Linked DNA regions of Callithrix jacchus. The protein of the gene in region 2 interacts with the protein of the main gene of each other region in a pairwise test. Links are inferred from orthologs where the notes say so. Each region holds a gene or a part of one and is shown on either strand. Other genes may lie near its edges. The genes, in order: PLOD3, EFHC2, CACNB4, CLIC3, CCHCR1, CCDC120 and LONRF1.

Evidence for each region.
Region 1: the proteins of EFHC2 (region 2) and PLOD3 interact in binary tests that used the Homo sapiens proteins (3 or more experiments, as listed by UniProt). The link is inferred for Callithrix jacchus from reciprocal best matches to the Homo sapiens genes EFHC2 and PLOD3.
Region 3: the proteins of EFHC2 (region 2) and CACNB4 interact in binary tests that used the Homo sapiens proteins (3 or more experiments, as listed by UniProt). The two-hybrid records come from large-scale screens. The link is inferred for Callithrix jacchus from reciprocal best matches to the Homo sapiens genes EFHC2 and CACNB4.
Region 4: the proteins of EFHC2 (region 2) and CLIC3 interact in binary tests that used the Homo sapiens proteins (3 or more experiments, as listed by UniProt). The two-hybrid records come from large-scale screens. The link is inferred for Callithrix jacchus from reciprocal best matches to the Homo sapiens genes EFHC2 and CLIC3.
Region 5: the proteins of EFHC2 (region 2) and CCHCR1 interact in binary tests that used the Homo sapiens proteins (3 or more experiments, as listed by UniProt). The link is inferred for Callithrix jacchus from reciprocal best matches to the Homo sapiens genes EFHC2 and CCHCR1.
Region 6: the proteins of EFHC2 (region 2) and CCDC120 interact in binary tests that used the Homo sapiens proteins (3 or more experiments, as listed by UniProt). The link is inferred for Callithrix jacchus from reciprocal best matches to the Homo sapiens genes EFHC2 and CCDC120.
Region 7: the proteins of EFHC2 (region 2) and LONRF1 interact in binary tests that used the Homo sapiens proteins (3 or more experiments, as listed by UniProt). The two-hybrid records come from large-scale screens. The link is inferred for Callithrix jacchus from reciprocal best matches to the Homo sapiens genes EFHC2 and LONRF1.

What each region holds. Positions count from the first base shown.
Region 1 is NC_133503.1:12,545,564-12,549,063, reverse strand, and holds part of PLOD3 (multifunctional procollagen lysine hydroxylase and glycosyltransferase LH3), read right to left. Parts: intron 2,581-3,500; coding exon 2,483-2,580; intron 2,327-2,482; coding exon 2,225-2,326; intron 2,048-2,224; coding exon 1,922-2,047; intron 1,763-1,921; coding exon 1,641-1,762; intron 1,335-1,640; coding exon 1,230-1,334; intron 1,101-1,229; coding exon 975-1,100; intron 1-974. UniProt on the Homo sapiens protein: Multifunctional enzyme that catalyzes a series of essential post-translational modifications on Lys residues in procollagen. Plays a redundant role in catalyzing the formation of hydroxylysine residues in -Xaa-Lys-Gly- sequences in collagens.
Region 2 is NC_133524.1:45,133,493-45,136,388, forward strand, and holds the end of EFHC2 (EF-hand domain-containing family member C2), read right to left. Parts: intron 1,017-2,896; coding exon 915-1,016; 3' UTR 501-914; downstream 1-500. UniProt on the Homo sapiens protein: Microtubule inner protein (MIP) part of the dynein-decorated doublet microtubules (DMTs) in cilia axoneme, which is required for motile cilia beating.
Region 3 is NC_133507.1:78,277,142-78,281,159, reverse strand, and holds the start of CACNB4 (voltage-dependent L-type calcium channel subunit beta-4), read right to left. Parts: upstream 2,801-4,018; 5' UTR 2,514-2,800; coding exon 2,451-2,513; intron 2,383-2,450; exon of another isoform or gene 2,148-2,382; coding exon of another isoform or gene 2,139-2,147; intron 1,913-2,138; coding exon 1,829-1,912; intron 1-1,828. UniProt on the Homo sapiens protein: The beta subunit of voltage-dependent calcium channels contributes to the function of the calcium channel by increasing peak calcium current, shifting the voltage dependencies of activation and inactivation, modulating G protein inhibition and controlling the alpha-1 subunit membrane targeting.
Region 4 is NC_133502.1:185,421,645-185,425,389, reverse strand, and holds CLIC3 (chloride intracellular channel protein 3), read left to right. Parts: upstream 1-1,322; 5' UTR 1,323-1,343; coding exon 1,344-1,376; intron 1,377-2,115; coding exon 2,116-2,225; intron 2,226-2,304; coding exon 2,305-2,430; intron 2,431-2,581; coding exon 2,582-2,942; intron 2,943-3,040; coding exon 3,041-3,199; 3' UTR 3,200-3,245; downstream 3,246-3,745. UniProt on the Homo sapiens protein: In the soluble state, catalyzes glutaredoxin-like thiol disulfide exchange reactions with reduced glutathione as electron donor.
Region 5 is NC_133505.1:35,974,947-35,978,446, forward strand, and holds part of CCHCR1 (coiled-coil alpha-helical rod protein 1), read right to left. Parts: intron 3,107-3,500; coding exon 2,803-3,106; exon of another isoform or gene 2,769-2,802; coding exon of another isoform or gene 2,739-2,768; intron 1-2,738. UniProt on the Homo sapiens protein: May be a regulator of keratinocyte proliferation or differentiation.
Region 6 is NC_133524.1:49,616,954-49,619,522, reverse strand, and holds the end of CCDC120 (coiled-coil domain-containing protein 120), read right to left. Parts: coding exon 2,323-2,569; intron 1,873-2,322; coding exon 1,758-1,872; 3' UTR 501-1,757; downstream 1-500. UniProt on the Homo sapiens protein: Centriolar protein required for centriole subdistal appendage assembly and microtubule anchoring in interphase cells. Together with CCDC68, cooperate with subdistal appendage components ODF2, NIN and CEP170 for hierarchical subdistal appendage assembly.
Region 7 is NC_133514.1:29,029,242-29,032,741, reverse strand, and holds part of LONRF1 (LON peptidase N-terminal domain and RING finger protein 1), read right to left. Parts: intron 1,863-3,500; coding exon 1,710-1,862; intron 1-1,709.

The DNA.
Region 1 (3,500 bases), on a different chromosome or scaffold from region 2:
ACTCAAAATACAAAAATCAGCCAGGCATGGTGGCGTGCGCCTGTAATCCCAGCTACTCAGGAGGCTGAGGCAGGAGAATCACTTGAACCCAGGAGGTGAAGGTTGCAATGAGCTGAGATCACACCACTGCACTTCAGCCTGGGTGACAAAGCAAGACTTCATCTCAAAAACAAAAAAAAGGCCAGGCACACTGGCTCACGCCTGTAATCCCAGCACTTTGGGAGGCTGAGGCGGGTGGATCACGAGGTCAAGACATCGAGACCATCCTGGCCCATATGGTGAAACTCCGTCTCTATTAAAAATACAAAAATTAGCTGGGCATGGTGGTGTGTGCCTGTAATCCCAGCTACTCAGGAGGCTGAGGCAGGAGAATTGCTTGAACCCAGGAGGCGGAGGTTGCAGGGAGCCGAGATCACGCCATTGCACTCCAGCCTGGCGATAGAGCAAGACTCCATCTCAAAAAGAAAAAAAAAAACAGATGGGCTTTCATCATGTTGGCCAGGCTGGTCTGGAACTCCTGATCTCAAGTGATTTGCCCGCCTCAGCCTCCCAAAGTGCTGGGATTACAGGATTGAGCCACCAGGCCTGGCCTTTGTTTTTTCTTTTCTTGAGACAGGGTCTCCCCGTTTCCAGGTTGGAGTGCAGTGGTGCAAACATGGCTCACTGCAGCCTCAACCTCCCAAGCTCAAGTGATCCTCCCACCTCAGCCTCTGTAGTAGTAGCTGGGACTAGAGGCTCTCACTACCATGCCCAGCTAATACTTTAAATTTTTTGTAGAGATAAGATTTTGCTATATTGACCAGGCTGATCTCACCAGGCTCAAGCAGTCCTCATACCTTGGCTTCCCAAAGTAGTGGGATCACAGGTGTGAGCCACTGCACCCGGCCTCATGGCACCTCTGACTGGTGACTAGGAGGCTTGGGTCTACCCAGGCCCTGGGTCAGAAGAGGGGGCTGCAGGCTGGCGGGACTCACACTCGCTTTCTCTGCACCAGCTCCACGTAGTCCTCAGAGCGGGCGTAGTACTCGTCAGGGCTCAGGGCACCCCAGAAGTTGGACCACAGCTTGCCGTGGCGGGACAGCATGGGGGCAATCACCTTCCTGTGGACAGGCGAGGGTGAGGGCTGGGTGGAAGAGAGCAGGCCTGGGGAGCCCAGTGCCCAGGGCAGGAGTGGGGTTCCCGGGGCCTGTTGGGGTGCCCCCCGGCTGCAGGGAAAGAGGGCAAGCCACCTGTTCTCCTCAATGAGGATGCGCAGGGTCTGTGGGTTGGTGAGGACAGCATCAGCGTCCAGGCTGAAGTAGAACTCGCACTCGGGGTCCTGCCGACACATGTCCCTGGAGGTGAGAGCTGAGCTCAAACAGCAGCAGGCAGGGAGGCAGGTGGGGATGGGGAATTGGCCCCACCCCAGGAGAAGAGGAGGGAGGCAGCATCTGGCCTTCTTTCCCCAGGCTCTCCGCTGTCTGGGTGAGCTAGCAAGGGTGGGGAGGGGATGTGACAGCGTGGGAACTGCAAGGATGCGAGTGGAGAAGCCTGGGAGGAGCTGGAAGGGTGATAGGTGAGGCGAGGGCCAGGCAGCGGGTGGCAGCCACCCCCACCCTGCACCCTCATCCTGCCCTCCTCCCTGCCCAGTGCCTGCTCACATGGCCATGTCCCTGGCCTCGCCTGGGCTCAGAGCCTCCTCTGGCCCCACCAGCTTCGTGGCTGCAAAGTGTTCCTGGAGCTGCGGCCAGGAGTCAGCGATGTGAGGCTCATGGAAGACCTCCTGGGGAGGGGTTGACATGGGGGACGGGCTCAGAGGGCAAGGAGGCGGCCCTTGAGGGATGGGGGTGCAGGTAGGCTATGGGGGTGGGGGCACGGGAGTGCTGATTAGGGCAGGGGAAGGGTCCTTTGGGAGAGGCTTTGGGGGGCGGGGGGGTCTCACGTTATTGTGCAGGAAAAGGGTGATCCTGTCGTGGGGATAGTCTAAGAGCAGCAGCCGCTGCAGGAAGCTGGGCAGAAATGGGGTAGGCTGTTCCACAAACACGGCCAGAAACACCCGGGGGGGAGGCTGGAAGATGCGACACGAAGGTGCTCAGAGGGAAGCCTGGACTTCCCGCCGCCCCCACCCACCCTCCACCCTGCCAGCTTCGGGGACTCAGGGGCATTGCCCCCACCAACACCCAGCCCACTGTCCTTGCACCTCCTGCTCAGCATGCTGCCTTCTTTCCCGGCACCCCTGCCTCACCTGCCCCCCCGGGAGTGTCCTCCGGTCCCGGTTGCAGAAGCCACAGCCTCCCTCGGGAGTCCAGCCATTGGGGACATAGTTTCCCAGGTAGTTGAGCTGCAGCTGTTGGGGAGAGACAGAGGCTGAGTGGCTGAGGCCTCCAGGGTGGAGGTGGGGCACCTCTGCTGTGGGAGCTGGGGAGGGCCGGCTTCTCAGAAGGGTTGGAGATGCCCAGGGGTTGGGGCAGGGCAGGGCAGGGGTTGAAGCCACTGGTGGCACCTTAGTAGGACCATTTCCATGGACCACAACGGGGAGCGTGTCGTAGGCCACGTTCCGTATACGCACACGGTTCCGATCAAACTTTAAAACCACTTCATCTGGGGAAGAAAAAGGCCAGGATTCAGACCCCCTTTCTCTGGGAGCTGCCGAGCAACACGTTCTTCTAAATATGGGGTCCCAAATTCTCCAGGGATAAAGGGACACTGGGACTATCCTGGAGTGTGGCTTGTGGGGGGCAGGAACCTTCGAGTTCTGACCAGGCTGCTGGCTCAGAGAGCTCCACTGACTACCTGCCTGAGCATATCGAAGCCGCTGGGTGAGGAAGGGCAGGATGAACTGAGCTGGGTGCCACTGGGAACCTCAGCATCCCTATCCCTCTTCATGTTCTCTCTCATTTTTTTTTTTTGAGACGGAGTCTTGCTCAGTCACCCAGGCTGGAGTGCAATGGCGCCATCTCAGCTCACTGCAACCTCCACCTCCTGGGTTCAAGAGATTCTCCATCCTCAGCTTCCTGAATAGTTGGGATTACAGGCGTGTGCCACCATGCCCTGCTAATTTTTGTATTTTTAATAGAGAAGAGGTTTCGCCATGTTGGCCAGGCTGGTCTTGAACTCCTGACCTCAGGTGATGATCCACTTGCCTTGGCCTCCCAAAGTGCTGGGATTACAGGCATGAGCTGTCGCACCCAGCCTAATTTTTGTATTTTTAGTAGAGACAGGGTTTCATTATGTTGGCTAGGCTGGTCCTGAACTCCTGACTTCATGATTTGCCTGCCTCGGCCTCCCAAAGTGCTGGGATTACAGGCATGAGTCACCGTGTTCAGCCTCCTTGCTTTTTTTTTTTTTGAGACAGAGTCTCGCTCTGTCACCAGGCTGGAGTACAGTGGCATGACCTCAGCTCACTGCAACATCTGCCTCCCAGGTTCCAGTGATTCTCCTGCCTCAGCCTCCTGAGTGGCTGGAATTACAGGTGGCTGCCAACATGCCTGGCTAATTTTTGTACTGTTTTTTAGTAAAGA
Region 2 (2,896 bases):
ACACTGAATTCCCAGAAGTACATGGCTATGGGTTTTAATCAAATGTACAGTATATGACAAGAGTTCCATTGAAGAAAAATAAAAATAGAACTAGAAAAATGCAGTGGGGGAAATGTTGTAGTTTCTGAATATGTAAACCTCTAGGGTGGGGTGGGTGGGATGTGTGTATAAAACAAACCAAAAAAAAAAAAAAATCTCAAAATCTTCAGCATTCACATTCCTAAATATTTTAGACATAATAAATTTTGGCCATACTATAATTATATACACATGCATATATTCCTAAGCTAAGAAGATGACTTTAGTTAAAAAAAGGGTATTAAAAATATAAATACTGCATATGTTCCCATTTGTTTCCCAAGTATGTGTGTGTGTCGAGGGGAGGTTTTTTCTTTCCATAGCTTTACTAAGTTCAAAAGATAAACATATTTACTCTAGAAAGGTTTAAGAACTATTTTGATGAGGTGAGTTGCCAGAAAACTTAATTATATAAGTAATAAACATGTCAAAAAGATTTCAGAAATGTTTAATAGAATCACAACTTATTTCTGTGATATAATTTCATTTTATATTGTCATGTATAACCATCAAAATTCACTTTCCATTCATATAGTCATGAATCAAATTATGTTTGATGAGAAACTATCAGAAGATTTTTGGTATTAATAAATCATACATATAATAAAAATACTCAACATGTTTCAAAATGGCATTTTAAATAGTACTAGTACATCAGCAATATAATATGGTGTCCTGAAAATCTAACATGACAAAATAAGATTCATTGTGGTTTACGGATTCCCATTCAATATAAACCTTGTTTCTTTTTTGTTTTTAATGAAATTATATCTACTAAAGTAAATGTGGCAAAATTAGAGAAGTAAATCAAAAAGAATTGACCAAAACTGGCATGGTTATTCCTCCTCTAAGCCAAACGTATCCTTCAAAAAGGTTAAGTAGTCAATGTTTTTTGCAGGAATAGGTGATGACATCCCAAGCCAAACATCCTCACATCTCTAGAAAAAAAAACAAAAATGGATACGATTAGAGCCACATTTCCAAGTACAGTTTTGCAAATTCAACACCAAACAGTTTATATTCAAAGTGAAAATTTGTACCATCTACTTTAGGTTCATAAGGACTTTGTGGTAGACTGGATACTTGTTCTTGATTCTTCATTGCCTGCCTGTATAAGAATTATGCACCCACACTCTTTGTCATGTGACTCTAGGACCTCCCGTGGAGTAAGAAGAGTGTATTTTCCTGTTCCTTTGATATGGGGTGGGCCACATGACTAGCTTTGACCTATGTACTGTAAGCAGACATATCATGAACAGAGGCTCCAGCGTGCTGGCATCATTTGGCTTGGCCTTCCGTGCCTCTGCCATCACCATAAGAAGAACATGGCCTGGGACGCTGCTGTTCTTAGAATGACCAAGGTAGATCAGACCAGGCTGGACTTGTAGACTAAGAGCCAAGCTCAGCTGAATCCACCCATGCTTGACTGACCTACATGCCCACAGACAAGAAAAGAAATGTGTCTTGTGAACCACTGAAATTTAAGGAGTTGTTATTCGGCATTGTTACAGTGATAGCTCCTCCCATACTTTCTTTTTTTTCTTTTTTTCTTTTTTTTTTTTTTTTAGACAGAGTCTCACTCTGTCACCAGGCACCAGGCTGGAGTGCAGTGGTGCAACCTTGGCTCACTGCAACCTCCGCCTCCTGGGTTCAAGTGATTCTCGTGCCTCAGCCTCCCGAGTAGCTGGAATTACAGTCACACGGCACCATGCCTGGCTAAGTTTTGTATTTTTAGGAGAGATGGGTTTCCCCATACAGGCCAGACTGGTCTGGTCTTGAACTCCTGGCTTCCAGTTATCCATCCACCTCAGTCTCCCAAAGTGCTGGGATTACAGGCATGAACTGCCATCTAAAGAACCCAATTTTTAAAATACAAACTATTAGCTATATGTTGCTTGGTTACTGTTTCTTCAGGAAACATTGAAAAGAACGCTGGATCACTCACAGTATGATCCTGAAGATAAGCCACTTTATGTGTGCATACACATGCACACACAGATGCACATTTTCTATAATATGTAATACATATGTGTGTATATATACACACAAACTCTTTGCGTATGCTGCAATAGTTAATTAATATCAACAGGAGGCAAAGTCCGTACATACAGTTGCTTATATTTCTACTGTCAAGATTGAAATATGACTGTCAAGATTAATTGTTGTATATATGTATATTAATATTAGTATCCAGAATCACAAGGTGTCAGACACATAGGTAAAGGCTCAATTATTTGATGTGATAGAATTTTGGAAGCCAGCTGATTAAGTGGTGTTTCAGTTGGACCTTATGGGACACAAAGCAGTTCAGCAGAGGGTTAAGGGTAGTGAAGGATGTTCCAGGCATAGGGAAAAGCATAAGCAAAGGCCTAGAGATCTAAAAACTATTTTAAAGAAAGGGTGAGTAGAGCAGTGTGGTTTGTGGCACATGGTACAAAGTGGCAAGAGAGATGGTTAGAAGGAGAAGCTGGGGCCGAACTTCTGACCTTCTGTGCTAGTTTATACTTGAGGCTGTGGTTAGGGGAAGTCACTGATAGGTCTTGGCCAGGGAAATGACAGCAATCTGATTAGAAACCGATGAGCTAACTTGCTGGATGTACAGAGAATGAAATGCAGTAAGAAAATCAATCTGGAGGTGAGTGTAATAATACCACGAAAAGATGACGGTGCCATAACCAGGGCAGCTGAAGCAGGCATGGAGAACAGGAGCTACCTCTGAGAGAAGCTGCTGCAGGAGAACGTGAAATAGCTAGAAGGGGATCAGTTTGAAATGGTGACAAAAGAAAGGTGTAGTGCTATAGGTTGAATTGTGTCCCCG
Region 3 (4,018 bases), on a different chromosome or scaffold from region 2:
TTTTGTGCCAAAAAATAAAAAGATTGTACATATAACATAATTACAATTAACTCCTGAATTTAAATTAGAACATTGAATCAAACCAATGAATCCCCATTTCATACAGATTTATGAAATATGTTTATTCTAAAACATCTACTTTGCTTTAAATTATTCCCAAAATTATTTATCACATAATATGTTTTACATTTTTTAAGCCAGCACATAGCAGCACACACTTCACACGAACTTATATGTACATTATCTCAATCAGTTGTGGGCATAAATTGAGAAAAGAATAAGAATATTAGAATATTATTTTGTTTCTGCTTAGGAGGAAGAATAAAGCATTAGTGCAGTTATGTACATGAACTCCAAAGTTCTAGTCAAACAGCTTATGGAATGAACTGCTGTATAATTAGTATTTCCAAGAATTTGCAACAATAAAACACCACTAAAAATAGGCACCTACAAAATAAACACCAGCAAGACCTCAAACAATTGCATAACAGAAAAATGTGCCTTATCAAATACATAATCTAAGTACTACAAAGGGGATAGAATGCATTTTAAGAATGAGATAGAAATCCAAAATGCATTTATTTCAATAATGTATATGCTTAGTGGTCACTAAATTAAAGGGTAGTCAAAATTTCTGCTTCTGCAGAAAGTGAAATTCTGCATAAAAATATCATCTAACTGTGCTTTATAGACCCTTTTAGAAGAGGTCTGAGTCCAATTTTGAGGCTAAAGTCCATTCCTCGTTGATATGATTAAATTGATGATAATCACTAAAGATACACCACAGCTGCCATCATAGGTTAGAAACACATTACACAATACCGAGTAACCTAGAGGGAAAAGAACTTCTCAAGGTCACCCTGGCAGCCCACAGGAAGACCTGGGATAAAAGCTTCTTGGTGCCATGACCAATGTCTTCCTAGGTCACCCGAAACCTAGGACACACCCCGACAATTTCTGTTCCAAAGAAAGATCAAGGTGACTCACTTTCGCATGATCTCTCTAGCACCCAGCAGCCAGGGGTGGTTTCATTAACCGCACACGAACAGTTGGAAAACTGAGGACCAATTTCCTGTGTCAAGGTGAAAGGCACCTAAGCCTTCAGCGTTACCAACGATCCCGAGATCCCGAGCACAGACAACTCTCACTGGAACCACGCAGGAGAAAGCAAGCACTAAGAAAACAGACACGAAGTGAAGGCGCACCCAGACCCCGGGAGCTGAGTGCTGGCCTTCGTTAATTCCTACTTAACCAGATACGGCTGTCTTTCCCTTATTAAGCGAATCCAAGAATCGGTCCCAAAGTGAGAGTAAACTTTCTGCTCAAAGTGTCTTTCTTGTGACCGGAGCTCGGCTATCTCTCCAAGATCCAGACAAATAAGAGTATTCAAATTAGGACAAAATAGAAGAAACCACTAAGTCTCAACTCGAATCAAACCAGGTCCCCGGAGCCGAAGGGTCTGGTTACTCTAGGTCGAGTTACACGACGTAAAGACGTTTCTCCAGGCACCAAAGGTGCAACCAGACATATTTCCAGCTCTTTAATTCAACGTCCCTGACTTAAGCCAGGTCCCCTCCGAACTGTCCACACACATGCACAAACTAACTTCCCAGGGCGGTGCGGCGCCGGGACACGAAGACTTCAAGAGCCTGGGCTAGAGGGAGAGGGAGAGGGAGAGGGACGGAGCCCCAGCACCCGCCGAGGCCGGGAAGAGACGCACGCGGACTCGACCCAGAGCTCCTGCACGTGGTGGCCACCATCGGCTCCAGGACTCCGCGCCACACGCTCGGCCTCCTCCCCATCCTGCTCTCCCGCCTCCTTCTCGTACCTGTCTGAGGATGAAGCTGGTCGAAGTGGTGCTGCCATCGGATCTTTTCAACCTGCTCCTCCGGGTTGTGGTGCCTCGGGCCACCTGGACTCGACACACGGGGCCAGAGAGAAGCCAGTGAGGACCGCAGCGCGGAGCAGGGCGACCATCCCTGGCTGGAGTCCGCCTCCGGACCCGCTCCCCGGGGTCCCCTAGAGCCCGCACCCAAGTCTCCTTCGCGACTCCCAAATACAGCCCCCACCCCCACCCACCCACTCCAAGCCTCGACGGCAGAGAAGATGCCCGAGAAGTGCAGCCCGCAAGCACCCACCACATCCATTAACAAAGACTGTCAGGGTGCGGGGTCCGAATCCCCGGCATCGGCTTGGGGAGGCTGCGGGCTCCGGAGCGGGAGCGCAGAGACCCGAAGGAGGCTGAGGAGGAGGAGGAAGAGGAGAAGGAGGAGAAAGAGGAGGAGCGGGAGGAGAAAGGGACGTGGAGGAGGGGTAGGGGAGCGGGGCCGCCGACTCCCGGGACTGGGGCCCCGCACGCCCGGCACGAAGGCGGGGCGCGCTAGGGCGGCGGAGGAGGTGTGAGGAAGGAAGAGAAGGAAGAGGAGGAGGGGGGGAGGAGGGGGCGGTACCTGCGAGGTGGGGGAGTGCGGCCCGTCCGCGGTCCCGTTCTTGGCGTAGGAGGAGGAGGACATCGTTCAGAGCCACCGCATGGCCCGCCCGTGCGCGGTGGGCGGAGGGCGCTGGCCCCCGAGGCTGGGCTGCGAGCAGAGGGGGAGGGCACAGGACTTCCCCACCCGGCTCCAGGACCCGCGCCGGCGCCCAGGCTCCCTGCCTGCACTTCGGAGAGCGCGGCACCTTAAAGGGACCGAGGCGCTTCCCCCGCGCCCGTGGCTGGGTCCCGGGGAGGGGGCTTCTCGGAAACTCGCCTACCCCAGCCGACTGGGAGAAGCGCTCTCCCACCTAGCGAGCGCTTTACATCAGAGCTTCCAGAGGATGAAGGGAGGGGGAAATCTGGGATGGGGGTGGCAGGATTAAAATAGTCTGCACAGTTTAAAATGAGACAAAGGTGGCACGGTTCATGAATCAGGACTTGGGGAGGGAAGCTGGTGCAGTGTGGCGGGAGTGGGAAGAACCGGGCGGCTGTGTGTGTGTGTTTGCTGCACTGGAATTTTAAAAGGGCAAGAGCAGAGCCACCTTCCGCGACTTCACTCAACAGCCTACTGTGGTAAGGCATGGGGTTTTGTGGCTAGCTTTTCCTGCGTGTTTTTGTATTGCTTTGGCAATTCTGTCCTTAGAGCTGCGAGTCACACACATCCAGGCAGCCGTGCGAAACCCAACCAGCCCGAGTCTGACGGAAGATGCTGCCCCGCCAAAGACCAGCCTGTCCTAAGGAGTTTTGAAGGTCATTTTAGATCTGCTAAGAAGCAAGAGTTGGTCACTGTGCCTCCCATTTCTATGCGGATGGATGTTTTCAAGGGGAGAAACTCATCCTTGCAACCATACACAACGTTTGCCGCTGGTTTCCTCCTGCAAATACATACAAGAGATTAATTTGTGATCAAATTAAAAGAGAGGGATGCGGAGAAGAGGAGTAAGTGTGAGGTACTGTAGAGAGGAATAAGAAGAGGGAAGAAAAATATATGCAAATTCAAAAATAAAGAGATTCTGTTTAAATTAACATATACATACCCTCTCAAATCGCTAAATCAGCCCATCTAAGCTTGCATTCTAGGACTTTATAGACACAACTATCATGCTTGTTTTAACAATTGCTTGGCTTTATTGAGGTCCCAATTATAGCTTACCATCCACCAGACACTTCCTTTCCATTCCTAATACCTTCACTTAATCCAAACTTCTGTAACAATCTTATAACCAGTGTTTTTGCCTCCAGACTTCCTAGTGCATGGCATGTGCGTATACACACGCAGAGATTTTATTCCATTTACACACTACAGGCAAAACCATTTTCGTGAAATCTCTTGCCCAAGTCACTCTTCTCTAAGATTAAACTCCAAACTCCCTGGTCCAACATCCCAGCCTCCCCTGCATTTCTGATCACTCTCCATCTCATTTCTCCATCTTGATCTTTTTTATACAAACCTTCCAGCAAGCTGGCAGATCTACTCATTACCCAAGCATTCCAAATGCAATCCTACCTTAAATGCCTCCCTGGAATATGCCCTCCCACCAACCT
Region 4 (3,745 bases), on a different chromosome or scaffold from region 2:
TCGAGAAAAACTAGGGCTTGCAATCGAGGTGGAGGCAGAATGGAGGGAAACTGAGGCTCTGCAGGGAGCTGGGGCTCAGGATGACAAACGATGGGGGAGCCACATGGTATTTCCAGGGCTCCATGGCACTGAGCCCCGACCATCGTGGAATCCAGAGGGGTCAGACTGGGCTGGCTGGGACAGCACTGGAGTGCGGTCGTGGGGACAGGGTGGGGCCTGTACCAAAGCCCTAGGGAGGTGAGCAGGTGAGCCATGCCACCACAACCACCCTGTCCAGGCTCACTGGGGCACCACACCTCCGGGGAAAGTGTGGCCAGGCCAATCCTGTGGGGCGCCTGGCCTCTGGGTGGGGTCTCCCCTTGGGGTACCTCCCTGGGGCTTCCCCCCAAAGCATCAGGAGGCACAGCTGGTGACCCCAAAGGGCCAGACTGACCTGTGGGTTCCAGTCACACCAGGAGGCCCAGAGCAGACTCACACCTGCGGCCCACCAACCTCCTCTGGCCTCTTGCTTCCAGCCATGCAGCCTGTGGCTTCTAACCCCCTCCAGCTGCTTCTTTTAAAAGATTAAGGGGTGGGGGTAAGAAACCTGCGCTGAGTGCCAGTGGGCGGGACAGGAGGTGGGGTGGAGACCTGCACTGCCAGCCAAACACCAAAGCCAGGCTGTCCCCCCACCCCCCGCCCTGTTGCAGGCAGGTCTGGAATTCGAGCCCCACCCTGAGTGGCGAGGGCCTGCCTGACAACTCAGTCAGTGGGAAGGGGCGGCTCCTCCAGGTGGGCTTATCATCCCTGCAATGCCTTGATGCTGCAGACCGGGAAACTGAAGAAGCTAGGCTGGTCGGGTCATTTCTCCTGCCCACCCCACCCCCGGCTTTCTGGGCTAGGGGCCCTGACCAGGAGTATTTGCCCAGGGAACAGCCATAGGGTAGGTCCTGATTTGGGTTCATGGTGGGGGTGGTCCTGAAACAAAGCCACCCCTCCCCAGGTGATACCCCCTACACCCTTCTGGTCTGTAGGCTCTCCCCATGCCCCGCCCACTGGTTTCCATCCATCACGCCGGCTCCCAGCACACTCAGTGCCAGGTGGGCGGACCTCTGGGTGTGCATCAGCCTCAGGTACAGGGCAGCCCCCTACATCATTCCCCCAGAGGTCACACCCTCAGGCTCAGACACCCCAGGGTCAGGCTGGCGTTGCTCAGACAACCGGCTCTGAACCCTGGGCAGCTTCATCTGCCCGCCTAGGTGGCTCCACGGGGCGGGCCCCTAGGCCAGGGAGGGCGGGGCTCACAGAGAGATATAAAAAGCTCCCCAGGTCTCCACCCGCGCCTGACCGCGGCAGCTCCCACCATGGCAGAGACCAAGCTCCAGCTGTTTGTCAAGGTGCAGGGCAAACTGAGCTGTAGGGAGGGTGTCTGGGAGCGGATACTCTTCTGGGTTTTGCTTTCTGGGACAGGCTGGGGGTTGGGCCTCCCCAGTAATGTCTGACCCCTTCCTGTGGGTGGCTAAGGGGACTCAGCCCTACAGAGGCTAAGTAAAGTGTAAAGTGGGACAGCCAGGGGAAGAAGGACCCAGAGAGTCACCCAGAGAGGGGTCCAGCGGCCTTGGTCCTGTTTCCAGCCCAGTCTCCTGGGGGAGGGCCCCTTGGTGGGAAGGTGCCAACCAGGCTGCCAGTGGTGGAGCCTGCCAGGAGCTGTAGGTGGGTGTTCCAGGATGCGGGGTGCTGGGCCAGGCAGGCCCTCAGCTCTCAGATCAGGGACCAGGGCGGGGGCTGATGAGCTGCCAGCCACAGTGCCCAGTCTGGTGGGTGAATCACTCAGAAAACAGCTTGTGGGGCCCACCCCACCCCTGTAGCCAGCTTTTGGGACCTCTGCCCAGGCTCTGCTAAGACTCCAGGGCCCAGGCCCGCCCCAGGCCTCCAAGCTCCCAGCAGCTCTGTGTCCCTCCCCACGTCCTAGGGACCCAGTCAAGGGCCCTCACTGGGCACTTGGAAGTCACACCGACCAAGCTGGAGCCCTGGCGTCCCTCCAGTCCCGCTGGCAGTGGGAGGCAGGTCCCACCCAGCCTGGTGGCAGGATGCCTGGGTCTGCTCCCAGCCCTGACCCCCATTCCACCCACCCAGGCAAGTGAGGACGGGGAGAGCGTGGGGCACTGCCCCTCCTGCCAGCGGCTCTTCATGGTCCTGCTCCTCAAGGGCGTACCCTTCACTCTCACCACTGTGGACACTCGCAGGTGAGGCCCATCCTGGGGACGCCTACCTGGCCTCACACACCAGTGGGCCAGCCTCCTCCCACCCCGCTGCTGCCCACAGGTCCCCAGACGTGCTGAAGGACTTCGCCCCTGGCTCGCAGTTGCCCATCCTGCTCTGTGACAGCGAGGCCAAGACAGACACGCTGCAGATCCAGGACTTTCTGGAGGAGACGCTGGGGCCGCCCGAGTGAGAGACAGAGCAGGGTGGGGGGACTAAGGGGGAGGACCCAGGGAGGTCACGCCCAGGACAGAGCCCAGGAAAGCGCTTCGGGGTACTGTGGGGCCAGGACAGGGCTGCGGCCAGTCTGATGGAGTCTCTCACCCCGACATCCCCGCAGCTTCCCCAGCCTGGCCCCTCGGTACAGGGAGGCCAACACCGCCGGCAATGACATTTTCCACAAGTTTTCCGTGTTCATCAAGAACCCGGTGCCGGCGCAGGACGAAGGTGAGGCGAGGTCAAGGGGCTGGATGCGCAGGCGGGAGGGCGCCCTGGGCGGGGTCCTCACTGCGCCGCCGCCCCCAGCCCTGTACCAGCAGCTACTGCGCGCCCTCGCCAGGCTGGACAGCTACCTGCGCGCACCCCTGGAGCATGAGCTGGCGCTGGAGCCGCAGCTGCGCGAGTCCCGCCGCCGATTCCTGGACGGCGACCGGCTCACGCTGGCGGACTGCAGCCTGCTGCCCAAGCTGAACATCGTCGACGTGAGCAGCGGGGGCGGGGAGGACGAGCGCCAGGGGGCCCGGGACGCTGGGAACAGCAGGTCCTGACCGCGCCCCCCCCCACCCCCACCCGCCCACAGACCGTGTGCGCGCACTTCCGCCAGGCGCCAATCCCCGCAGAGCTGCGGGGAGTCCGCCACTACCTTGACAGCGCGCTGCAGGAGAAGGAGTTCAAGTACACGTGTCCGCATAGCGCCGAGATACTGGCCGCCTACCGGCCCGCCGTGCACCCCCGCTAGCGCCCCGCCCCACCCCTGCCGCCTGATAAAGGCATCTCTGTCCGAAGTGAGCGTGTCCTGTCATCTGAGGAGCCAGAGGCCCCATGATCACTGCCCCCAGTTGGGGGTGCTTCCCAACCCCAAACCCCATGGTGGGACACTCAGCTGAATAGCCCAGAACCACAGGGGCAGGAGAGCCAGGATCGGGCGGGTCCCATCCCCCACGCTAAGAAGTGCACAGACTCCAGGTCTCCTGCAACAGGTGGCCTCAGGGATCACCAGGACCGGATTGGGCTCCCAAACCAGTCAGGCCGGGGTGGGGCGGGGTGCCCCAGGTGGATGGGGGCTGGCTACATTCCTCAATCTTGTCCCAGGGTCAGGCGCTCCCCTCCCCACAGGGCCACTTCCACAGCATCTTGGAGGTCTGGGATCTGCACAGGACGTTCTGTGGGCATCTCCTACAGGACTCTGTGCCTTGCCTGGGTGTGGCCTGGGAGGGTGGGAACAGAGTTCTAAGCCTTGCGGACCCGGACCCCGCCTGGCTGTGCCCCTCTCGGCTCCTGGGCT
Region 5 (3,500 bases), on a different chromosome or scaffold from region 2:
AAAAAAAAAAAAGGAAAAAAAATTTTTTTAATTTCTTTTTTTTTGTTTCTGGAGATAGAGTTTTACTTCATTGCCCAGGCTGGATCTCAGCTCACTGCAAACGCTGCCTCCCAGGTTCAAGCGATTCTCCTGCCTCAGCCTCCCAAGTAGCTGGGATTATAGGCATGAGCCACCACATCTGGCTAATTTTTATATTTTTAGTAGAGATGAGGTTTCACCATGTTGGCCAGGCTAGTCTCAAACTCCTGACTTCAAGTGATCTACCCATTTTGGCTTCCCAAAGTGCTGGGATTACAGGTGTGAGCCACCGTGCCAGGCCCTAACTTATTTTATAAAATAGACACGGGGATCTCACTTCGTTGCCCAGGCTAGTCTCAAACTACTGGGCTCAAGTGATCCTTTGGCCTTGTCCTCCCTAAGTGTTAGGATTATAGATATGAGCCACTGTGCCCAGCCTGCTCATTACTCTTCTTTTTTTTTTTTGAGACAGAGTTTTGCTCTTGTTACCCAGACTGGAGTGCAATGGCACGATCTCGGCTCACCGCAACCTCTGCCTTCTGGGTTCAAGCAATTCTCCTGCCTCAGCCTCCCGAGTAGCTGGGACTACAGGCGCATACCACCATGCCCAGCTAATTTTTGTATTTTTAGTAGAGACAGAGTTTCACCTTGTTGACCAGGATGGTCTCGATCTCTCACCTCGTGATCCACCCGCCTCGGCCTCCCAAAGTGCTGGGATTATAGGCCTGAGCCACCATGCCCGGCCGCCTGCTCATTACTCTTAAGGGAAAGTATCAAGTTCTGAACTGACCAAGGCCTTGCACCCTGGGTCCTGTGCTCTGCAACACACTCAGGGCCCTTTATCTCTGTGCTCCAGCCTTCTAGCCTCCTCCTGTCCCCATCTCCATCTGCTGTCCTGCTGAGTGTCCACCAGCTACCATTGCACCCCACACACCTCTTCACTGGCCAACTCCTTATTCAGCACAAATGGTAGCTTGTTGTTTTTTCAGTCTTGCTCTGCTGCCCAGTCTGGAGAGTAGTGATCTCACCTCATCCTAACATCTGCCTCCTGGGTTTACGCAATTCTCCTGCCTCAGCCTCCCAAGAAGATGGGGGATTACAGGCACCTGCCACCATACCTGGCTAATTTTTGTATTTTTTGTAGAGACTGGGTATCGTCATGTTGGTCAGACTGGTCTCGAGTTCCTGGCCTTAAGTGGTTTACCCGCCTTGGCCTCCCAAAGTGCTGGGATTAGAGGCATGAGCCACCGTGCCTGGCCTAACTTCTTATTGCTAAGTTTCTTTCATGAATCTCCTTTGTCCATTTTCTGATTGGACTGCTGGTCTTTCCGTTACCAAATTCTATACACACATTATATATTAGGGATAGTACCCTTTTCTTGTAATCTGAGCTATAAATATAGCTTTTTTTTTTTTTTTTTGCTATTCGTAATGTTCATGTTATAAAGTCGATGAGTCAATCTTTTCCTTTATGGCTTCAAGATTTTGGATTTTGACTCATAGGTAGAAAGGCCTTGTACACTACAAGGTTATAAGGAATTTAATTCTCCCTTGTTTTCTCCCAGTTCCTTTATGGTTTCTTTATTTTTTTATTTTTTTGAGATGGAGTCTAGCTCTGTTGCCCTGGCTGGAGTGCAGTGGAATGATCTTGGCTGACTACAAACTCTACCTCCCAGGTTTAAGTGATTCTCCTGCCTCAGCCTCCCGAGCAGCTGGGATTACAGGCACGCACCACCATATCCAGCTGATTTTTGTATTTTTATTTTTTGAGACCGTGTTTCACTCTTGTTACCCAGGCTGGAGTGCAATGGCGCGATCTCGGCTCACTGCAACCTCCACCTCCTGGGTTCAGGCAATTCTCCTGCCTCAGCCTCCTGAGTAGCTGGGATTACAGGCATGCACCATCGTGCCCAACTAATTTTTTGCATTTTTAGTAGAGACGGGGTTTCACCATGTTGACCAGGATGGTCTCGATCTCTTGACCTCGTGATCCACCCACCTTGGCCTCCCAAAGTACTGGGATTACAGGTGTGAGCCACCGCGCCCGGCCCAATTTTTGTATTTTTAGTAGAGACAGGGTTTTGCCATGTTGGCCAGGCTGGTCTCAAACTCCAGACCTTGTGATCCACGCACTTCAGCCTCCCAAAATGCTGGAATTACAGGCGTGAGCCACCCATGCCCAGCCCTATGGTTACTTTTCTTGACATGCCGACAGGTTAGTGGCCTTCCCTGAACCCCAGACCAAGTTAGCGCTCTCTAGTCCTTCTTCAAGGCACTCCCCCAATTGCAATTACTTATGATTAAATTAAATATAGACGAGTGTATCCCCCACAAGGCTGTCAGCTCCATCCATGAAAGCAGGACTCAGGCTAATTTGGTCACTAAGTCTCATAGATGGCAAAGAGTAAGCACTGTGGACTGAATAATCTCTATCCCAGTCCACCACAGCCTCCTTACCCACCTTCCACACTGCCCTCCACAATACCCCCAATGAATTGGTACCTGCAGTAAAGTAGGGAGGCAAATTACTTCCTACTAGAAAGGAAAGGAGGGCTTCAAGTGGTGGGAGGCCACCTGAGTCTTGGGGGAAAAGTAGAATCTGAATTAAGATCAAAGCACCCAAGTTCTCCATCTCTCTAGGCCATGTGTGTTTCCTTTCACCAAAAGGTCTCATCATTCCACTGCTTACTACTCATGGCGGGGGGTCTTTTCTGCAATACCTGCTTGGAAGCTACTGCCCAGCTCTCCATTATGAATTTGAATCCTTTCCACCTCTGGATTCACCTGCTCTTGGTGCAGTCTCTGAGCCTCTTCCAGCTCCCGCTGGCTCCCCTCTTCCAAGTTCTTCCGGATAACCTCAGCCCCAGCCAAAGCTGCACGTAGGCCCTCAGCCTCGGCTCGGCCAGCCTTCTCCGCCCGTGCCAGAGCCTCCAGCTCCATGGCCTGGGCCTCTAGCCTCATCTTCTGCTGCAGTGAGGTCTCTCGCAGGAGCTGGACCTCCTCCTCTAGCCGCCGCAGCTCTTGCAGCTGACGAGAGATCAGCTCAGCCTGCTGGCTCAGGGCCTGTGACCCGTCCAACTCCCGGCACCTTCAAAGACAGGTTAGTGCAGATGAAACTTGTCTCCAGAGATGGAAGGATAGTTGAGAGCATAAACATAGTCAGGAGAAGCAAAAGACCCCTCTGCACTCATGTTGGGAGGTGAAGGGGGTGCTGAAGCTGGGGCATGGGGATGTCTGCACTTACACCATCATCATTCATCAAAGCCCTATTGAGCATGTTAAGTCCAGTGCCTGGACTCACAGGACCTAAGGTCTGGCTGAGATCATGAAACATGATCTCTCTAGAGAGCGCCACATACAGGCAGATTCAACATCAAATGTGTGTACCATTAGGCCACCACATTCTTTTTGTTTTTTGGTGTTTGTCTTATTTATTGTTTTATTTTTTAGGCCACATATTTTAAGTGGAAAAGTTGGACGAA
Region 6 (2,569 bases), about 4.5 Mb from region 2:
AGTGTGACGGCACGTGACAGTAGTCCCAGCTACTTGGGAGGCTGAAGCAGGTGAATTTGCTTGAACCAGGGAGTCAGAGATTGCAGTCAGCTGAGATTTTGCCACTGCACTCCAGCCTGGCAACAGAGCAAGAGTCAAGAAAGAAAGAAGGAAGGAAGGAAGGGAGGGGGAGAGAGAGAAAGAAAGGAGGAAAGAAAAGCAAGAAGGAAAGAAAGGAAAGAGAAAGAAAAAATTTAAAAGTATAGGGAGGTTAAGAACAGAGAATCTTTATTATCATCATTTATATTATATTACCAAGAGTTATTATTTGAGGTTGGCTAGAAATCTGAGTGCAGACAGGCAAAGAAGTTGCCCCACATCACAAAGCAAGTAAAGTCAAAACAGACGACACTATCACAGGCTATTCCCAAGGTATGTTTTTTCCTGTAAAAATATATTATCTGGTCTTGACTAAAGGTGTGGGCCCTCAAGGCAAGGCAGACAGAGCAGCAACACATGGGTTCAGTTTACACATTTATTATAGAAATCCCCTTCCAGTGTGGGTAATGTCTTGGGCCCAGATCCATTGGTACAAAAAGAAAAGTTTAACACCAGGAAAAGGGGGTAGGGGAACCCCCAGCTCCAGAAAGTCACAGACAGGTATCATAGAAAACACAACTTGTGTGAGTTTGCTTAAAAAGTGGTAGATGGGGGCTGGGCACAGTGTCTCACACCTGTAATCCCAGCACTTTGGGAGACTGAGGTGGGCAGATCACGAGGTCAAGGGTTCGAGACCAGCCTGGCCAACATGGTGAAACCCTGTCTCTACAAAGAAAACAAAAATCAGCCGGGCGTGGTGGCATGTACCTGTAATCCCAGCTACTCAGGCAGCTGAGGCAGGAGAATTTCTTGAACCCAGGAGGCGGAGGTTGCAGTGAGCCAAGACCGTGCCACTAAACTCCAGTCTGGATGACAGGGCAAGACTCCACCCCACAAAAAAACAATAAGTGGTGGATGGAAGGAAAGCCAAGGAAGGTGTGAGTGGCCCGTGGCCTGTGGCCAGACCTCACCTGAGGATTTTACTGGCATCTACTGGATGCCAGGTTCAACCCCACAGCATCCCAGGACACAGCACACATATAGCCCTTTGCCCCTCCTGTGGGGTCTCCTGACTAGGGGTGGTCAGGATAGAGGCTTTGGGCACAGATGGAACTGGGCTTCTTCAGGCATCCCACCCAGACTGTAGTCCTTCCAAGTGTGGGCAGAGAGCTCACTGCCCCACTAACGCCCTGGCAATGGGTGGCAGGGACTTCTGTTCACACCAGAGTCTCCTGGCTGCCCTAAATGGCCCTGAGACCCGATATGGTCCATTTTATGGAGGGGGTTCCTGAATGGAACCTGGTTGGGCATGGGAATAGGAATGAACCCAACCAGATGAGATCACAGTTTCCCTTTTATAAAACGCCTAGTGTTGGAGGAAGACAGTGAATACCTAAGTTACAACTGTAAACAGAAATGGAGGAAGGGGCTTGGGGTCCCCATGACATCATCCCCTCTCTTTTAAGCTGGCTGAAGGCCCCCAGTCCCCAGTACAGTGTGAGAGAAGCAGGGTGTCAGACACCTTCCTGGGCCCACAGGAAGCCAGAGGCCTTGGAAGGTAAGGTTGGCACACTCCGCTCAGGACTGAGAGCAACCACATCCCAGGGCCCATCGAGGTCAGCTGTGTGCTCCCCAGACTGGAATCGTGCCCAGGCCAACAAGGGGCATATCAGAAGGGGTCAGACCAGCGTCCCTGGGGTCTGGGTGTCAGAACTGGAGGACTGCTCCCCCTCTAGCGTCAGGTCACTTAAACGAGCGCTCAGCTCCGGGGGATACAGGAAGTCCGCGTAGTATCTTTAGAAGGGTAGCAGGAATCCGGAGGACAGGGCGGAGAAGACAAGAAGAGAGGAAAAGGCAGACAAGACAAAGAAAGAGAAAGGAAGAGGCTCGTTAAAGAGGTGGAGGCAGGCATAGGACAGCAATTTCAGGCTCTGGGGCAAGGAGAGAAAAGGAAGAGAATGGCAAGGGGCATAGATGTCCCTTCCTCCCAGCACCCTGCGTCAAGGCTCATCTTCAGCCTATAACTTGATAAAGAACTGCTGCTACCAGCGCCCAAGATCCCCTCCACCAGGACCCCATGGACTAATGCAGATCATGTGCAGCAGAGTGACCCTATGCCATCGCGGCAGCTAGTTTCCTCATGGTCCAATTCATTAGCAATCATGACTAGCCATTCCCTGGCCTGGATATATTCACCATCTGCCTTAAGAGACCCCTACCCATCAGTAAAAGCACCCCCCATACCTGCCAGAGACAGGGGGTGCCGTGAAACTCCTCGAGTGTGGGAGTGGCGCCTGGCTGGGGGCCCCGTACAGCGCCTGGCCCACTTCATAGCAGCGGGCATGGAGAAAGGTTGGGTGTGACGGGCCCGCAGAGGGGAGCACAGGCCGGCGCTGGGGCCCCGCAGCCAGTCCTGAGTTCCGGATGTACCAGTCCCGCAGCCCCTCCAGGGCCAGGTTCTTGTGGCCACTGCGTTCACCAGCTGAAGGGA
Region 7 (3,500 bases), on a different chromosome or scaffold from region 2:
CTTAAAATATAAAGCTTCAGAATGACAAAAGGAGCTAGGACATCAGTGCTGATCTCAGTAGGCTCCCTTCAGAATCAGATTCAGTTTCTACATTCATGTATTGTCTGCTGTCAGCTAAGCGTCACTACCTTCTCTTCTGCATTCCAGAGATGTTAGAAACTGTCTCCTAGAATCCCCTCTGCCATAGGGTTCCAGGTTAGGGTTGGCCAATGAAAGGCACTCTTGTAGGGTGTAGAAGCTGGAAGAGAAGCCAGTATCCTCGGAAGATTGTTGCAAAGTATGAAGATTGTTGCAAAGTATGAGCAGCAGCTTTCCAGAGAGCTCCTGGAAACCCCTACCTCCACTGCTAAGGTAGTAGTGGGGACTTACTGGGATTCCTAAGAATCATAGCCACTTCCCCACTAGTTCTTCAGAAGTACCCTGTTGGCTGTTCCTGAATCTCTGGTGGCAAATTCCCTGACTTCTGCAGGTGAAATCCCTGACCTTCCCCCCCACAGCTTCCCCAACTACTCTATAAAGTCCGCAACCTACATCAAAACCTTCATCCCAGGAATACGCAGGGTGGCTGCTTTTGCTTTCCTGCCCGAATCCTAACTCACGCAACATCGCTAACAGAAAGCAGTGATAGAGGACAGGATAATAAAAGGCAAGGGTGGTGAAGGTGATGGGAAAGTTATATTGAATTTTTCTATAAGCTGTTTTTTTATCATGTGAAATTTCTTATTCAATATTGTTCTTATCAAAGCCTATTTCTGTGACGTTTAATCAGATTCAAGTAATCAGTTAAAACAAATAGATAACAACTGATAATATACTAAACAGAATGAATACTAAATGTGGAGATGGCCTATGTTGGTGTTTCAAGTTCAGGTGAAGGATTCAATTGGGATTCAGACAGATGCAGACTAACCCTTAAAAATGGGAATGAGGCAGTGTGCATTACAATGAGATCTATTATTTCTCCATCTTCACATATTTACTGACAGCCATTCCTTTGTACAATCTATCACCTTCTGACCAAAAACATTTAAATTCAAAAATACTTATGCCTAAAACGCAATGCTTTAATGAGTCTATGATCATATTTTCCAGGAGCCAGACCCTTCTTTTATGCCTCTTGCAGTTTTGCTTGCACAGAAAGTTCCAGATACACATTCATTAGACTAAGCTTAAGTGTAAACCCTAAGTATCAGCAAGACTAAAAGAATAACAGTTTCATAAGAAGCGAAGTATTAAACATGAAGAGGCAAAAATGAGTAAGTCGTGGGGTCAAATGTTGGGAGACAGAAAAATGAGAAAAGATTTTTAAATGTATAGAAAATTGTAAATCTCTCTGCTCTCAAAGAATGACAGCAACAGGTGATGGGTTTGAAGGCATAGTTGTCTCACAGTCACAGTTTCTAGATAGTAACATCCCATTTTTAATTCCTTACCCCTCCTAAAAGTCCTCTTAAGGACTTCCTCCCTCTCTGGCACTCTCTCCTACAGGCATCTCAGCTGACACCTATTTCCAGCCTCTACTTGTATGGAATGCACTAGATACCACTACTCTAGAGAACTCATGATTCTAAAGATGAGGTGGGGATGGGAGCAGGGGGCGGTCAAAGAAAATGTAGTACAGAAAGGACAATAAAAAAATGAAAATGTCAAAGTCTGCAAATTTGGGTTTACATCGACCTGACTTTGGGGGAACAGAAAAGCCACCATACCTGAAGGTTTTCTTCCCTCTCGGGCATTGATCCAAAGTGCTGAAGAATTTGGCTTCGAAATCTGTCTCGTAAATTCTGAAACCAGCTGCAGGCTTGAGAGTAGACCAAATCATGAAGCTCTCTGAGATTCTTAATCTCATCTTCATTCTCAACCTAGAAATACAACAGTCAGTAAGACTTCTGTGTCTAATCCCCCATCCATATGCCAACTGACACAAATGGAAAAAGGCATCAGAACAACAGGGCAATACCTGTTTCAGTGCTGACCTCCCAGAGAGTATTATTCCTATGCTATAATACATATTTCTGCCTCATACAGGGCTAACTGACCATACTAAAGAAAGCCAGCAAGGCCTGACCTATGCCTCATCTCACTGACTTAGCAGTGCAGTATTGCAGAACCCTACTGACAGCCCCCAAGTGGGAGGACTAAGACTGAAAGTGAATTTTGGTTCAAAGGTCTACACTAATTTGGAATTCCTTTTGTCTTTACGAATCAATGGCTTTTGAAAGCAGTGGAACAAAAAAGTGGATGATAGTTGCTACAAAAAAAGAAAAGATGAGTGATTAGGGTGCAGATGACATGACAGAAAGTAGTAACAGGAGGAGTTCACGCCCAGTTACATCTTTTACTAGGAAACTGGGTCAAAGCACAACAACAAACAAAAAGCTACAACAAATAACTTAGCATATAAAGCCAGTAAGTGAGAGAGGTAATTACACAATGATGAACTTCTGCTCTAAATGCCCAAGGCTACAGCTACCTCTGGAACCCCCTCAGTATATTCTTTAGACTACTGGGTCACTAAACTGCAAATGTAAAATTAACTGCATCAGTCTTCTACCTTGAGATAGAAGAGTCATCTCAGAGAACACAGGTAGGAAGATCTAAGTTTAACTCCTCCATCTTATATTGATTTCTTTAATGCACACTTACATCCCACTTGCTATGTGCCAGGTTGTGCTCGCTCTCATATACACAAACTCATCCGAACAAATACCAGGCCTGACTCAGTCTTTCATACTTCAAGGATGACTCATATAAAAACAACAAAGAAACTCCGAAAACATTTTGAAATATAAAAATAGGACTACAGCACACAAGAGACAAAAAAAAAATACTTTTTACTTTTGAAAGATTTGAAATGAAAATTAAAACTAAAGCTTAAAGAGCGTCTCCTTTTCGCAAAGCTATATGAATGTACTTAATGCCACTGAACTGTGCACTTAAAGATGATTCAAATGGTAAATTTTATATATATTTTACCACAATACAAATAATTTTTTTTTTAATGTAGAGGGGCCATATAATTGAATAATTTTGGTCTTGGAATGCCAATATAGGATTCTGGCCCTTGCTGACATACATTGAACTTGATAGAAGCAAGAAATAAGCTTATGCCTTGTTCAGTCTTTTTTTTTTTTTTTTAAGCATGTGCTTTGCACCCTCACAAAATTCAAGAAAACAAATGACAGGCTCTAATAAATAAAGAATGATAACAATTATAAGAGTATATAATGAAAAATGGAGCTGGTCAAAAAGCAGGCAGAAACTTTAAAAGCAAACTTTACTGTAATAATTTTTAACAGAACTTAAAATTTCATTAGAAAACACAGAAAACAGAATCATTATAAGAATAAGAAAATTTGCTATAAAAAACAAATTTGAGAAGTTTTTCCAGAATGGACAAGAAAATCACTATATAGATTAAGACATTATGATGAAAAATTACCGGTCATTCCTAGGACCATAAAGAGGACTCGAGTTTATAAACATCAAATCTATAATAC